Linked DNA regions of Tribolium castaneum. The protein of the gene in region 1 purifies or fractionates together with the protein of each later gene. This does not show direct contact. Links are inferred from orthologs where the notes say so. Each region holds a gene or a part of one and is shown in the gene's direction. Other genes may lie near its edges.

Evidence for each region.
Region 2: the proteins of Fsn (region 1) and ago purify together in Homo sapiens (affinity purification with mass spectrometry; 4 studies listed by BioGRID and IntAct, counting the BioPlex papers as one, with this or other methods). This does not show direct contact. The link is inferred for Tribolium castaneum from reciprocal best matches to the Homo sapiens genes FBXO45 and FBXW7.

Annotation. Positions count from the first base shown.
Region 1 is NC_087398.1:7,903,179-7,910,467, reverse strand, and holds Fsn (F-box/SPRY domain-containing protein 1), read left to right. Parts: upstream 1-2,477; 5' UTR 2,478-2,560; coding exon 2,561-3,142; intron 3,143-3,811; exon of another isoform or gene 3,812-3,824; coding exon 3,825-3,915; intron 3,916-3,961; coding exon 3,962-4,056; 3' UTR 4,057-6,549; downstream 6,550-7,289. Other genes in the region: Dp (transcription factor Dp-1), read right to left, coding at 296-411, 593-641. UniProt on the Homo sapiens protein: Component of E3 ubiquitin ligase complex consisting of FBXO45, MYCBP2 and SKP1. Functions in substrate recognition but also plays an important role in assembly of the complex.
Region 2 is NC_087394.1:36,171,710-36,178,415, reverse strand, and holds the end of ago (archipelago), read left to right. Parts: intron 1-89; coding exon 90-688; intron 689-906; coding exon 907-1,088; intron 1,089-1,141; coding exon 1,142-1,367; intron 1,368-3,724; exon of another isoform or gene 3,725-4,330; intron 4,331-4,379; exon of another isoform or gene 4,380-4,565; coding exon 4,566-4,776; intron 4,777-5,112; coding exon 5,113-5,398; intron 5,399-5,621; coding exon 5,622-5,625; 3' UTR 5,626-6,332; downstream 6,333-6,706. UniProt on the Homo sapiens protein: Substrate recognition component of a SCF (SKP1-CUL1-F-box protein) E3 ubiquitin-protein ligase complex which mediates the ubiquitination and subsequent proteasomal degradation of target proteins.

The DNA of each region.
Region 1 (7,289 bases):
ACTGCTTTTGTGATCCAATAAAATTCACGAAACCATTACAAATGCGTGGCGATACTGATCTACCTCCACACAAACACGCGATAATTATGGTCAAGATAAATTAGAAACAAAAACAGAAGTAGTCGAAAATAGGCAAAGACATGCAAGAAAGATGAAAGAGATGAATGAATTGTGCAATTACCCCGAGATAAAAATTCGATCAATCGTTCGAAAACTTAGGAATAGATGTAAACAAATCCGTCTTATCTTTAACGAACTACAAACAAATTAATTTAGGGGGGAACGAGTGGAATACCTGGAGCGGTTCCTGGCTGTTCGGCGATTTGAAAATCTTCATGGGCTGCCCTGCCACCGAGGTCACAATGCCACTTATGGGCTTTCCACTGGGCTGGACCACCTTAATCATCTGCCCTGTTACAGAAAAAACGAATAAAACACGTGCACTGAACCCGCTTTTCCTCCCACATCGAGGCGGTTTCCCCCGAAACTCGGTCCTTTCCCGCCCAGCCCCCCAACCGGCAACTGTTTGCCCCCGCACCACTTCGTTGTGGGCCCCCGTTTTGGAAAAACCCCCGAACCCTTTAAAAATTACCATTGGCTCCCTGGATCACCCAGTTGGTTGTGCTGTTCTGCTGGGTCATTTTCCCTCTCGTGCGAAACACTCACTCGCCGCCCCTTTAGCACATTTCCTCAAAAACGGGACACTGTCGAAAAAGCACCGGTTTTTAAATCCGAGCTCCTCTCCATCCAACTCCAACAAAAATGGCGACTGTAACTAGGCGATATTTTGGAATTGAAATAGGCGGACCCCGCGCACCACGAATTCGGTTTAAACAACTCGCGAAGTTTCCTCGAATATCGCAATTTGCTAATTTCGCGCTTTTTAACTGCTTGCTTGCGATACAACACTTGGGGGTGTTTTTGAAGATGAGCTATTTCGTGCAAGGAAAGCCACTACCAGCTTGGCGGCGGGTACAAAGGCATCGCTCCCATTGGCTGGATTCCTTCACGTGGGACACGCTGCTCCTAGTTCGGGCAAGCGGCACGAGGGAGCGATGCGTTCGAAATATTTTGGCGCCTTTTTGCCTTGCGGCCCCCGCACGGGGCGCACGAGGCCCTGACACCGGGCAAATGCCCCGGAAAAAACACCCAGGGATGCAGTTTCAATAATACGCGGCTGTCAGGAAAGGTGCACCCACCGAACAGGCCATCGACAGAAACGTGCAAGACAGAACCTTAAATTATTAGAAAGGCAGTATTCGCTAGGTGTCGCTACTGCAAAAATACTATTTTGCACTATAATGACGAAATAGTCAGTAAATACGGTAAACACAAATGTAAAAGAATAATTATAAAATACTATTTATTACCTGTTTCGAAACCATAAAAATGCCAACATCACATTTTCTCTCAAAATTTGTTGTAATGGGTCAATTCACGACGGTATGCGTGTGGATATGGTAAATGTAATGTAGTTTTTCGACCTGTTATCTTCTTATAGATCTTAATACTAATTGTTCATACTCTTCTGACTGAATTTTTAGTCATCATAGCATGAATAGCAAAGGAAAGAAGCTCATACCCACACGCAAACCGTTATGAATTGACCCCATCAATATTTTGTAATTTTTGTTTTTATTTTTTAAAGCAAAAACCAAAAAAATACACGTTTTTAAGTAGAATATTTTTTTGGGGATTTTTTTTTTAAATCCAAATCTGTCATTGCCTTTTTCAAGACGTTCTTGATGTTAGAGTTACGACACTCAACTTTAGCCATATTTGATACTTGCATTTTTTAAAAGTTTTTTTATTTCTGCTAACAATTCGATGTATCACATAATGATCAGCAATTTTCGTAAAAATGCTTTTTCTCCATTTTGATCAGCATGTAATATTTGATCATATTTTGTGATACATCGTTGAAATCAGAAATAAAAACGACAAACGGACACCCTGTATTTATAAATATGTTTATTGCTGATTGTTTTTTACAGCCGTAAAACTATTTTTTTGTATTCTTATATTGCATATGAAATATAGATTTGTCGAACATGTAACATATAAAGAACAGTTTATTGAAAAGCTAAAGCGGCTTCAGAGGAATAAAAGTGCCGAATCAATTTTAGTAGAAACGAAAATTTAAACATTTTAAAACAACAATGAAAATTGTTGCTAAATACAAAAATTATGTAAAAATAAATACATTTCTGAAAATGAAAATGTGTCCTGGGTGTCGATTCTAAACCAATACTTCGACTCGAAAAGTGTTTTGAATGCTTCTGTTTATGATTTTTTAGATTTGACTGATTCTGCCGATGTCTGTTTCTAGAGATGTCCTGTTCTGTCGCTAATTTTTTGTTGAACACCACCTCTATTATATACGTGAATTTTTCTAGATCAGTTCGCGTCCTCAATAAACCGCGTTATTGGACGTCGTGAATGCAAATTTCGCGTGTTTATAAATAATTTAAGCGGATTTTATTGAAATCGCAATCAGTCGGTTCGAGCGGTTGGTATCGCTGTCAAGTGTCAAGTGTCAGACGGGTTGGTCCGTTCAAAAATGGATGCCGCTGTAGCATCAACATTGCCCGATAATGTGTTGGAAGTAATTTTTTCATATTTGTCTCTGCATGATTTGAGGAACTGTTCTTTAGTGTGTAAGAGATGGTATAGTTTTTTAAATGATGAAAATAACGACGTTTGGAGGCTGCACTGTATTCGGAAACTAGCCGAAGAAGCACTAAAGTCAGATTTGTTGTCTTCAGTTCCTACGTATAAAGCGAAATTGCGGGCGTTTTACCACGCCTGGAATCCGAACGACTGCTCTAGAAATATTTATATTAAGCCTAATGGGTTCACGTTACACCGAAATCCCGTAGCTCAAAGCACGGACGCTTCGAGAGGTAAAATCGGATTTAGACATGGGAGACACGCTTGGGAGGTGATCTGGGAAGGGCCCTTGGGGACGGTCGCCGTCATAGGAATTGCCACAAAAGACGCACCTCTGCAGTGTCACGGTTACGTGGCCCTGCTGGGCTCGGACGACCAGAGTTGGGGCTGGAACTTAGTTGATAATCATTTACTGCACAATGGAGATGCTCAAGGCAATTACCCGCTACTTAACAATGCCCCTAAATATCAAGTAAGTTCGCTGGTCCACCTACAGTCTGTTCTTTATTTAAACGGAAATTACCAAGTCCAAGACTCTATATTATGTAATTTTTTTATTATTTATTTTGACTGGAAATGGCAAGTTCTTTTGCCAAAACTACACCTTTTTCAACTGTATTTTAGAAATACTCAGGTTTATTTCAGAAGATGTTATTGTAATTCATATTAGTAAAGTTAAAGTTTTGATATTTTGTAGACGTTATTTATAATCTAGGACGTATTTTAGGATAATATTTTTGATTATATGGAGTGTCCCCAAAAAGAATGAGGGCATAATATTTTTTTAATGGCAAGCTTTTTTTCGTGCTCTTTAGGATACCTTTTTACCTAGTTTTTTTAAATTAGTTTGGGGATTTCAAAAAATTAAAAAAAATGGTTTTCCACCTTTAGTTTTAAAAATTAATAAAAAATAGAAACAGTGCTTTTTTGCTAACATTATTAGTACGTACGTGTTGTATAAGTTCTATTTGTAAGTTCGACACTTTACTTCTCTTGGTTAAAATTTGAAATAAGATTAATCTTGCATAACAGAAAGTGACCAACTTTTTAATTTTTAAAACTTATAATTTTTTGACGCTATTTGTTGTTTTGCGGTTGGTTTTCCGTTTAAATAAAAAACAGACTTTAGTTTTTGTCTTAGTTGGGTTTTGCAGGTTGGGGAGCGAATTCGGGTGATTTTAGATTGTGATGACAACACGCTATCTTTTGAAAAAAACTACGAGTTTTTGGGAGTGGCCTTTAGAGGTAAAGCGCTTTTTGGAGCGAGATGGTGTTTCATGAGGTGTTTCAGGATTGCCAGATAAAAAATTGTATCCAACAGTTTCTGCCGTTTACGGAAACACTGAAGTTTCAATGGTGTATCTCGGACCACCTTTAGATGGCTAACACAGCTGGAAGTTGACGTTAGTCTGTTAATTAACTGAAAAAAGGGGTTGGATGCTTCAAGATGGCTCATTCAGGACAGCAGGTTTGCCCATGTGATAATTACATTTTACTTCAGTCAGTCATACTTCCATTAAAAATGAGTATGTAGGACAATTTAAACAATGGTAGATGTAGAATTTTTATAACAGTAGACTAAGAGAGGTGCATTTGAAGTATATGTTGTCACAAACTTAACTAAATAACAGTCCACAAGGAGGAATTGATTTCGTTTTAATACGTTTTATTTATTTTTTAGATGCTACCACTTTTTACATCAAATGCACTAAGTAAATAAACATTTTGCCATATTCCGTGACCTGATTGCCACTTTTTTAACACTGAAACAGAAACATTGAGTGAGTAGACTTTTAGGGAATCAATTCAAATTGGGTGCTTTCTTGCAATTTTTTGTTGCAATATTTTCATCATTACTGCTATAAAATTGCCTCCCAGTAACAAATTTTAATAACACTGCCAAAATACAGGAGTTACGCAGCTGAAATAAAAGACAATGAAAAAAGTCGTAATTATTAAAAATTGTAATGACGTGGTTTGATATCTATCTGTTTAATGAGTATCGAAATTTGCATATGAATGCATAATGGTGTTTTTAGTGATCGTTTGACCCCAGATATGTTTTTATGCAAAGTAGAACAAACATTTTTATTGAAAAAACGGAGGTAATTTTATAGTAGCAATGACCTCCAGGACCGGATCGAGACTTTATTTATTTTTAGGAACAAATTCATCGAAAGTTCAGGATATTTTTAGACAAGGGTTGACCAAAAAATTACAAAATAAAAAAATAAATTGTTTTATCGAAAAAAAAAAAATTGAGCCTTTTACCAATAGTTTAACACATTTTGTTACAAATGAACGGAAATATCACGCGAGTGATTTAAATGTGGAGCAATTTTTGCAATTTTCGAACTTTTTTAAGTACGTTTGACATGAAATTGTTACACAAAAATTCCTGATTGGGTTAAAAATGCATTATTTTTGCGTATTTTAGCGTTTAAGTGATACTTTTTTGGTTCAAAAACAGTGATATTGTTGCTTATTTAAACACAGTCTTCTGAAGAAATATTATTTATCAGTAAGTTACTAATTGTTTTAACTTTTTACCCTCGATCCGGCCTTGGTGGTGCCAATTTTGTAGAATGACTACATTTTTGATTAATTTTTTACGTTGGCAGTCAATGTAGTCGTGTACAAGTCTCGAAAAATAAGCCATTGTTGCCTTGTAATTTCAGAACTTTGTTTTCTTGTTTGTTTCTGTGATATTTTCGAGCAAATGTTTATTTATCATGATTTTAAAATTCTTGATCTGGTATTAAGCTTGTTGTTTTTTATATTATTTATTATTTATTTTGCCACGACCAGTAGTTACGTAACTTTGTAACCATGAAATGTAAGCATATTCGTCCTCACTCTGCTTCGCAAAGTAATAAATTGATAAATGTAACTTTTTGTCATTGCAAATGCATTTTTGCTATTTGAACCCAAAATTTCCTAATGCAAACGCAAGCCTGAATATTTCAATTATTTTGGGTTTCGATAGCATCGGATATATTTTTTTATCGATGAAAGTGATGTAACTCATCTTGTACAGGTCCAAAGGTTTGGATAAGTTTGCAGATATCTAACAAATGCATTAATGAAACCATAAATTGTACTAAAGCGTATAATCTTGATTTGTTACCAATGTTTTAGGTTGTACTCTTGTAAATATGTATGTATGTACGTTTACATTTTTTCAAGTAATCGATACTTAAATAGTATTAAAATAAATTCTAGTCATTTGTATTAACGAGCTGTTAATGCGTATCTCGGCATTTTGTTCGGCTTGGATGTATGAGCACTATTCTAAAATTCAAATTGTCCACCTTGAAGTTGACGTCCTAAATATTTAAATCGAACTCCAATTGGAAGTCAATGCGTGCAGTGCAAAAACAGAAAACGCATTAATCCTGCATAATATTTTTATAAATAGACACAATTGTATCAGAATGTCTGCATTATTTATACTAGAAATATAACAAAAGGATTTTTTACTTGCATTATGCACGTTTTTAGCATTATTCAAGGACTGTTCCTTCCACGAAATCGTGTGCAGGTGCGCGCAAATGTAAATAATTTCTTGATTTTTAATATTAGGACTTTAAAAATCGCGTACTTAATTTAACGATGTTAGGGAGCACTTTGTTATTTATTTCGTATTTTAGGAAATGGCGGGATACGCTTTCGTACAAATAACGAGTTGTTCACACGAGACAAATCAATTGCGCTCGTGCGATCAACCGAAGCCTTGCATCTGTTAGTTTATTTGGTTGTGCATTTTTTACCAAGTCAATTTCATTTACAATAGTTACCATTTTTATTACAAGGTATGTGCAAGTATAGTAGGTATTTATGGTTTGTATAAATTGTTTTTAAATATAACAATAAAATGTTGCTTGCATGTTTTATTTCAACCAGTAGGTAGTGAAAGAAATTAAAAATACAAAAACTGGGTACGTAACGATATATTTTATTGTGAATTATTATTTAGTAACTTTCTTGTAACAATAGGAAACTAATCTGGAAGTTTGCAAAGTAAGTATACACGTGTTCAAGTAATGGAATTCGTTTACTTAATTCATATTTGATGTAGAAAGTCGTCCGAAACTAGTATTGAGAACAACCTGCAAAACTATCGATATTTTTCTATAAAAAGCTCGTAATGCTATAATTGTAACAATATATTGTCGCAAATTAACATAATTTTACACACTTTACAGATCACAAGTTTCAAGTATGTGTCGTGTACAGCGAATATGAGAATAAATGCAAAAAAGAATTGTACTTTGCCTAAATCACATTATAAAACAATCTAGGTTTTCAACAAATGATATGATAGTTGAGGGGCACTCGACTGTTTCTTGCTCAGAATTCATTCATTTTCCTATTCGCTTTACAATCCGGTCGTGCACTTATGTATGGCCTTAGTTTCATTAAAAAAATTACAAAACATCGGACGCGATCATTGTTTTGTGGCAAACACTAGAGCAATTTTAATATGGTTAATGCTTAGTCTAAGTGAATTTGTTCTGAAGTAGGTACTTAATTATTATAAGATTACATTACACGTTCGTTAGCCAATCTAACGAAACGATTTCGTGAAATAGATTATTTTTACATTTATTTGTTAGCTC
Region 2 (6,706 bases), on another chromosome or scaffold:
AGCTCTAGCTGTATTAGAAGTTAAAAAGTTTCTAATGTAGGCCCTAAAAGAATCACCTTATTTACTGTTAGTTTTTTTGTTCCGTGCAGGTGCCACCCCTAGCGACAAAAAATCTCGTCTCGTAATCCCGACCAAAGACAATCCGCCACCGGAAATGTCCGATTGGCTGACCCAATTCCAAAAATGGTCAAACGCGGAACGAATTCTCGCAATCAGCGAACTAATCGCCCGCTGCGAACCAACTCAAGTCCGTCATATGATGCAAGTGATTGAACCACAATTCCAACGAGATTTCATCTCATTATTACCACGCGAGTTGGCTTTGAACGTTTTATCATTTCTCGAACCGAAAGACCTTTTACGTGCAGCACAAACTTGTCGCAGTTGGCGTTTCCTGGCTGAAGATAATCTACTGTGGAAGGAAAAGTGTCGGCAAGCAGGCATTGATGAAATACCTAAACGGAGGTGCTCACCTAGGTCTCCTGGAACGCAAATGTCGCCATGGAAAGCTGCCTACATGAGACAACATGCCATTGAAATGAACTGGAGGAGCAAACCGATCAGGCCGCCTAAGATGCTAAAAGGACACGATGATCATGTGATCACGTGCTTGCAGTTCTGTGGGAATCGCATTGTGAGCGGATCGGATGATAATACGCTCAAAGTTTGGTCAGCGATCACAGGAAAGGTAAAAAAAAAATATTTTTTTTTGTGAGAAATTTTGTTATTCAGCACTCGCATCCATTAGTTATTTTAATTGATGTTTTAGAATTATTTTTTTAAGTAAATTATATTAAAAATAACTTGTTGAGATCGATGCAGAAAAAAATTATTAACACTTTTTTCATTAACTAAACCGTATTTGCATCTTCTTAAGTGGCAAATTTTGTACGAGTGTTGTTGTAGTGTTTGCGCACTTTGGTGGGGCACACTGGAGGCGTTTGGTCGTCTCAGATGTCCGGTGCGACAATAATCAGTGGCAGTACTGATAGAACACTGAAGGTGTGGGACGCCGAAACGGGCGATTGTATTCATACGCTCAACGGACACACTTCAACTGTACGGTGTATGCATTTACACGGAAACAAGTAAGAGAATAGTATTTTTTTAAAATTGTTTTTAATTTGTGTCGTTGTTTAAGGGTTGTGAGTGGTTCTCGTGATGCAACTTTAAGGGTGTGGGATATTAAAACTGGGGCATGTCTTCATGTTCTTGTGGGACATTTAGCCGCTGTACGATGTGTTCAATATGATGGCCGATTGGTGGTTTCTGGAGCTTATGATTATATGGTTAAAGTTTGGAATCCAGAACGAGAGGAGTGTTTGCACACGTTACAAGGTCATACAAATCGTGTCTATTCATTACAGGTGCGTTAATAACTTGGTAACTTTTAGTTTAGTGAAATTACAAAAAAAAATATAAACTTACACTAGCAAAGTTTTGTGGACTTTTATATTTCTTAACAACCCATTCGAGTTGTTTAAAGTTGAAAAAAAGTTAATTGGTTCGATTTTTAATTTTAATTTTTAATTTTTTTAATTTTTGTCGTGATTTTGGTCGATTTCGGGTACCTGGAACATTTATCGAGCAATAGCTCCGGAACTATTAGAGAGAACCTTTAATTAGCTCTTTAAATTATCTATCTTTTTTAGAAAAGAACATTGTCCTCCGGCTAATAGTTTTCGAGAAAATTGCAAATAAATGCAAAAATTGGTAAAATTTTAAAAAATTCATAACTAAAAAACTATTGGGAATTTGGCAATTTTCTCGATGCCAATCGATTCCCCGGATCATTTCGCATAGGTATGGATCAAAACAGTTCCACTTTTTAGAATAGTTTAGCCGTAAATGAGAAAATAAAAAAAACATTTTGTTAACACAAAAAAACATTTTAATCAAATGAAACCTATTCTATCTTATAGATTTTGATGTGCTCTTTACGATGGAACAAACCGTTTTCTTCTGGCTCTTTTAGTTTGGCCGTAATCGGCGATTGAAAATTGAAAAATTGAGATATCGCCTTGAGTCCCATGACATTTTTATTCCGGTTATCCTCCATTTTTTCGTTTCTCGATATCTTTAATAGTTTCGCCGTAATTGGCGATTGAAAATTGAAAAAAAGTGAAAATGGAAACCTTTTTTTGCGTTTTTCTCGGAAACTGTAAGACTTAGAGCAACGAACAAAAAACCATCTGATAGCGCTTAATTTTATCTATTTTTTCGACCAAACCCGGAGCCGCTCCGGGCAACGGTTCTGGCTACAGAGGCGATCAAAGTTTTTCACTAAAAAATTCATTAAAAAAAAACTAAAAGTCGTAGAGCATTGCGGTTTGTTCGATTGAATTCTACGGCTCATTTTACATATTATATCGATTTTTTACAAGAATTAAAAATTTAAAACTTTTTGCCTAAATTTAGGGTAGCCATTTGTCATAATGAAAAATTTTATTTATTAAGAAAATTCATAACTCGAAAACTAAAAGTCGTAGAGCAGTGCGGTTTATTCCATTGGATTCAGCGGCTTTTTTTCTCTATTATACTAATTTTTCACGCAATTTAAAATTTTCAATTTTTTTGCTCAAATTTCCTGAGTACCTCAAGAGGTGAAAAAAATATTTTTTTTTAACTAACTCCAGCAAATTTTTATGGACTTCTACATGTCTTAACAACCCACAAAAGTTGTTAAAAGTCCACAAAAAGTCCAAATGTTCGATTTTTTGATGTTTGATTTTTTCAATTTTCGTCGCAATTTTTGTTGATTTTGGGTACCCGGAACATTTGTCGAGCAATAGCTCCGGAACTATTAGAGATAACCCCATGAAGTGTATTATCGTTGGAAAGCTCTTTAAATTATCTATTTTTTTCAAAAAAGATTATTGTTCTCCGACTAATAGTTTTCGAGCAAATTGCTGCTAAATGCAAAATTTGGTAAAATTTTAAAAAATTCATAACTAAAAAACTGTTGGGAATTTGGCAATTTTCTTGATGCCAATCGATTCCCCGGATCATTTTGCATAGGTATGGATCAAAACAGTTTCACTTTTTAGAATATTTTAGCCGTAAATGAGAAAATAAAAAAAAATAAAAAAAAGTTAACACCCCCCCCCTTAAAACCGGTCAATTTTTAAAGTGTCTCAAAATTAAATGAAACCTATTCTATCTTATAGATTTTGATGTGCTCTTTTCGATCTAAAAAAGCGTTTTCTCCTAGCTCTTTTAGTTTGGCCGTAATCGGCGTTTGAAAATTGAAAATTTTTTTGCGAGATATCGCCTTGAGTCTTATGCCATTTTGTAGAGTTTTTTATTCCGGTTGTCCTCGATTTTTCCGTTTTTCGATAACTCTAATAGTTTCGCCGTAATTGGCGGTTAAAAATTGAAAAAAAGTGAAAATGGAAACCTTTTTTTGCGTTTTTCTCGGAAACTGTAAAACTTAGAGCAACGAACAAAAAACCATCTGATAGCGCTTAATTTTATCTATTTTTTCGACCAAACCCCGAGCCGGTACGGGCAACGGTTCCGGCTACAGAGGCGATCAAAGTTTTTCACTAAAAAAATTCATAAAAAAAAAACTAAAAGTCGTAGAGCATTGCGGTTTGTTCGATTGAATTCTACGGCTCATTTTACATATTATATCGATTTTTCACAAGAATTAAAAATTTAAAATTTTTTGCCTAAATTTAGGGTAGCCATTTGTCATTGTGAAAAATTTTATTCATTAAAAAAATTCATAACTCAAAATCAAAAAGTCGTAGAGCAATGCGGTTTGTTCCATTGAATTCAGCGGCTCATTTTCTGTATTATACCAACTTTTCACGAGATTTAAAATTTTCAATTTTTTTGCTCAATTTCCTGAGTAAAATACACTTACCTTCAAAGAGGTGAAAAAAAATTTTTTTTTAAACTAACTCCAGCAAATTCTTATGGACTTCTACATGTCTTAACAACCCACTAAAGTTGTTAAAAGTCCAAATATTCGATTTTTTATGTTTGATTTTTTCAATTTTCGTCGCAATTTTTGTCAATTTTCGGTACCCGGAACATTTATTTATTTATTTATAGATAACCTTATGAAGTTTATTATCGTTGGAAAACTCTGTTAATTATCTATCTTTTAAAAAAAAGGACATTGCTCTCCGACTAATAGTTTTCGTAAAAATTGCAAACAGAAACAAAAAAAATCGTTTTCAAAATTTATTTTTTTTACAAATGATTAATGAGTGTATTTAAACTTAATCAAGTGTTGAGAAGAAAGTATTTTGTTTTAGATTGTGGTGATAAATCTGTATCCGAAAATTTAAAAAAATTAAAAAACATCAACCGTACTTATAATGTAAATAACTATTAAAATTACAACAACATTGTATGTAATATTATTGTAGATTTTTGTTTACGGGTCCAATGATTACGTAGTAAAAGGTTTGAGGTTTATGTCGAGTTCCATATTAAGATATGTTGAACTCCAGAATCAGATGATGACAGTTTTGAATGAGGGCCATAATGAAACATTTCATTCATTATAATTAGTTGTTTTACTTTAATTTAATTGTTTTTTGTTAATTTTCTAGTTTGATGGCGTTCATGTGGTCAGCGGTTCTTTGGATACGAGCATTCGAGTGTGGGAAGTTGAGACGGGAGCTTGCAAACATACGCTTATGGGTCACCAGTCCCTAACATCCGGTATGGAATTACGAAATAATATTTTAGTGTCCGGAAATGCCGATTCCACCGTTAAAGTTTGGGACATAGTGACCGGTCAGTGCCTACAAACCCTTTCAGGTAAGATTCTTGCACCTCTTTTGTAACATCACTGTTACAAAATACTCTTAATTATCATTAAAATAAGCAAATGCAGTTATAGTGTAGTGTAATTATATTCCTATGTTTATTATTAAAAAAAAAAAAAAAAAAACTCGCAGCATGCCCTGATACTTGTAGAACAATTTTTATCATTGTATTGTTGGTTGTCTACTAAACCATTTTATTATATTTTATTAAGCTGTTCTTTTAATTTCATTTTATACTGTTGTGTTAAAATATGTAATTAAATAGCAGTGAATTAAGCAAATTGAGTAATAAACAAATGTAGATTTGATGTTACTTTCCATTTTCCAGGACCATACAAACATCAGTCAGCCGTAACTTGCCTCCAATTCAACAATCGTTTTGTGATAACTTCCTCGGATGATGGAACTGTAAAATTATGGGACGTTCGCACCGGCGAGTTCATCAGAAACCTGGTGGCTTTGGACAGTGGTGGCTCAGGAGGCGTTGTGTGGCGGATTCGCGCCAACGACACGAAACTAGTGTGCGCGGTTGGAAGTCGTAACGGCACAGAAGAAACAAAACTACTAGTGTTGGACTTTGATGTCGATTCTAACTCCAGTACCATCATTTCTAGGTAATTACAGACTGCAAAAAATTGTATGAGTGCGCGTGTTTGTAGACCTACGACTTTTAAAAAGCATACTACTGATGTTGCTATCAAATTTCATGTCTTTGACAAACCCAATAATTTCAACTACTAAACGTTTTCAGAAACACTTAATGGTGTAATTCTGTGATATTACGTTTAATTTAGGCGACATCAACAGTATGCGAATTTTAACGACTTGTTATTTCAGCTGAGGAGTTTTTTTCAAAAATCTGGTGCTGTTGAGTCCGGAAGTTTCTTTTGTGTTGTGTCCAAAGTACAAATACTGTTTTAGGATGATGAGTTTGCAATATTTCCACACTCGTTGTTTGTTTAATTGTAAAATTCCTAAATTTACATGACATGATTTGCACCAGAGAGACTGATTGTAAGTTTTAAGTTAATGGCATTTTAAGTAAAATTACCACATTAGTTTGTTTACAACGAGTAATAGGCCAAGTGATTGGTAATTGTATCACGTGGTTTATTACGAAAGGAGATTGTTTTTTTAGTGAGAGACGATGTGGTTCATGCTCAAGATTCTTGTCATAGCTCAACATAATTGTATATAGTCGAACATAATCCGTTTCATCATACATCACTAGTTTAATTAGTATTTTTCTCAATTAATTTACTCAAGTTAAGTATTTTTAATTAGCTCTTGTCAAAATGTCTAATAGTTTAGTCGGCAATCGAAATTTTAACAATTTTAGGAATCCATGTTTTATATACGAAAATAGTATCAAATAAGAAGAGACGCTTAGATTCTTTTAAGTCGGATTTTTTCGTTTCGTTCAGACTTTTCAAATTTCCTCGTTTTTGGTTGGTGAATTTTAATGTAATCATTTCAAAGTCTGGTGTTGTTAATGTTATAATTTCTTATCTGTATTTGTTGTATTTATTTTATAAAACAATTACTCTTATCTTACGGACTTTTATTTCACCTGACCTTCTAATCCTCAAGAATTAAAAAAAATTGGTAGTTTAAGTTCAAGTTCAATTTTATAAAAATATTGCAAAATTTTAAAAATGCATTTCGTATCAGGATCACAGGAACGCAATGAAAATTCTCAAGAATTTTGCAAAATATTTTCCTTTTTTTTTCATTTCTAAAATTTTTCATAAAAATTTACGAAAATCTGCAATTCACAAAATGCGAAATATCTCCGTTCCTGTAGGAGATAGAGGGGTGGTTCTGCCCTTTTGAAAACCCTACCGCCCCGTAGTATTTTTCCCGGGCTATCGAATGGGATAGGTCCCGTTCCCGTATCTCCATCAGGAACCGAGATAGCACTG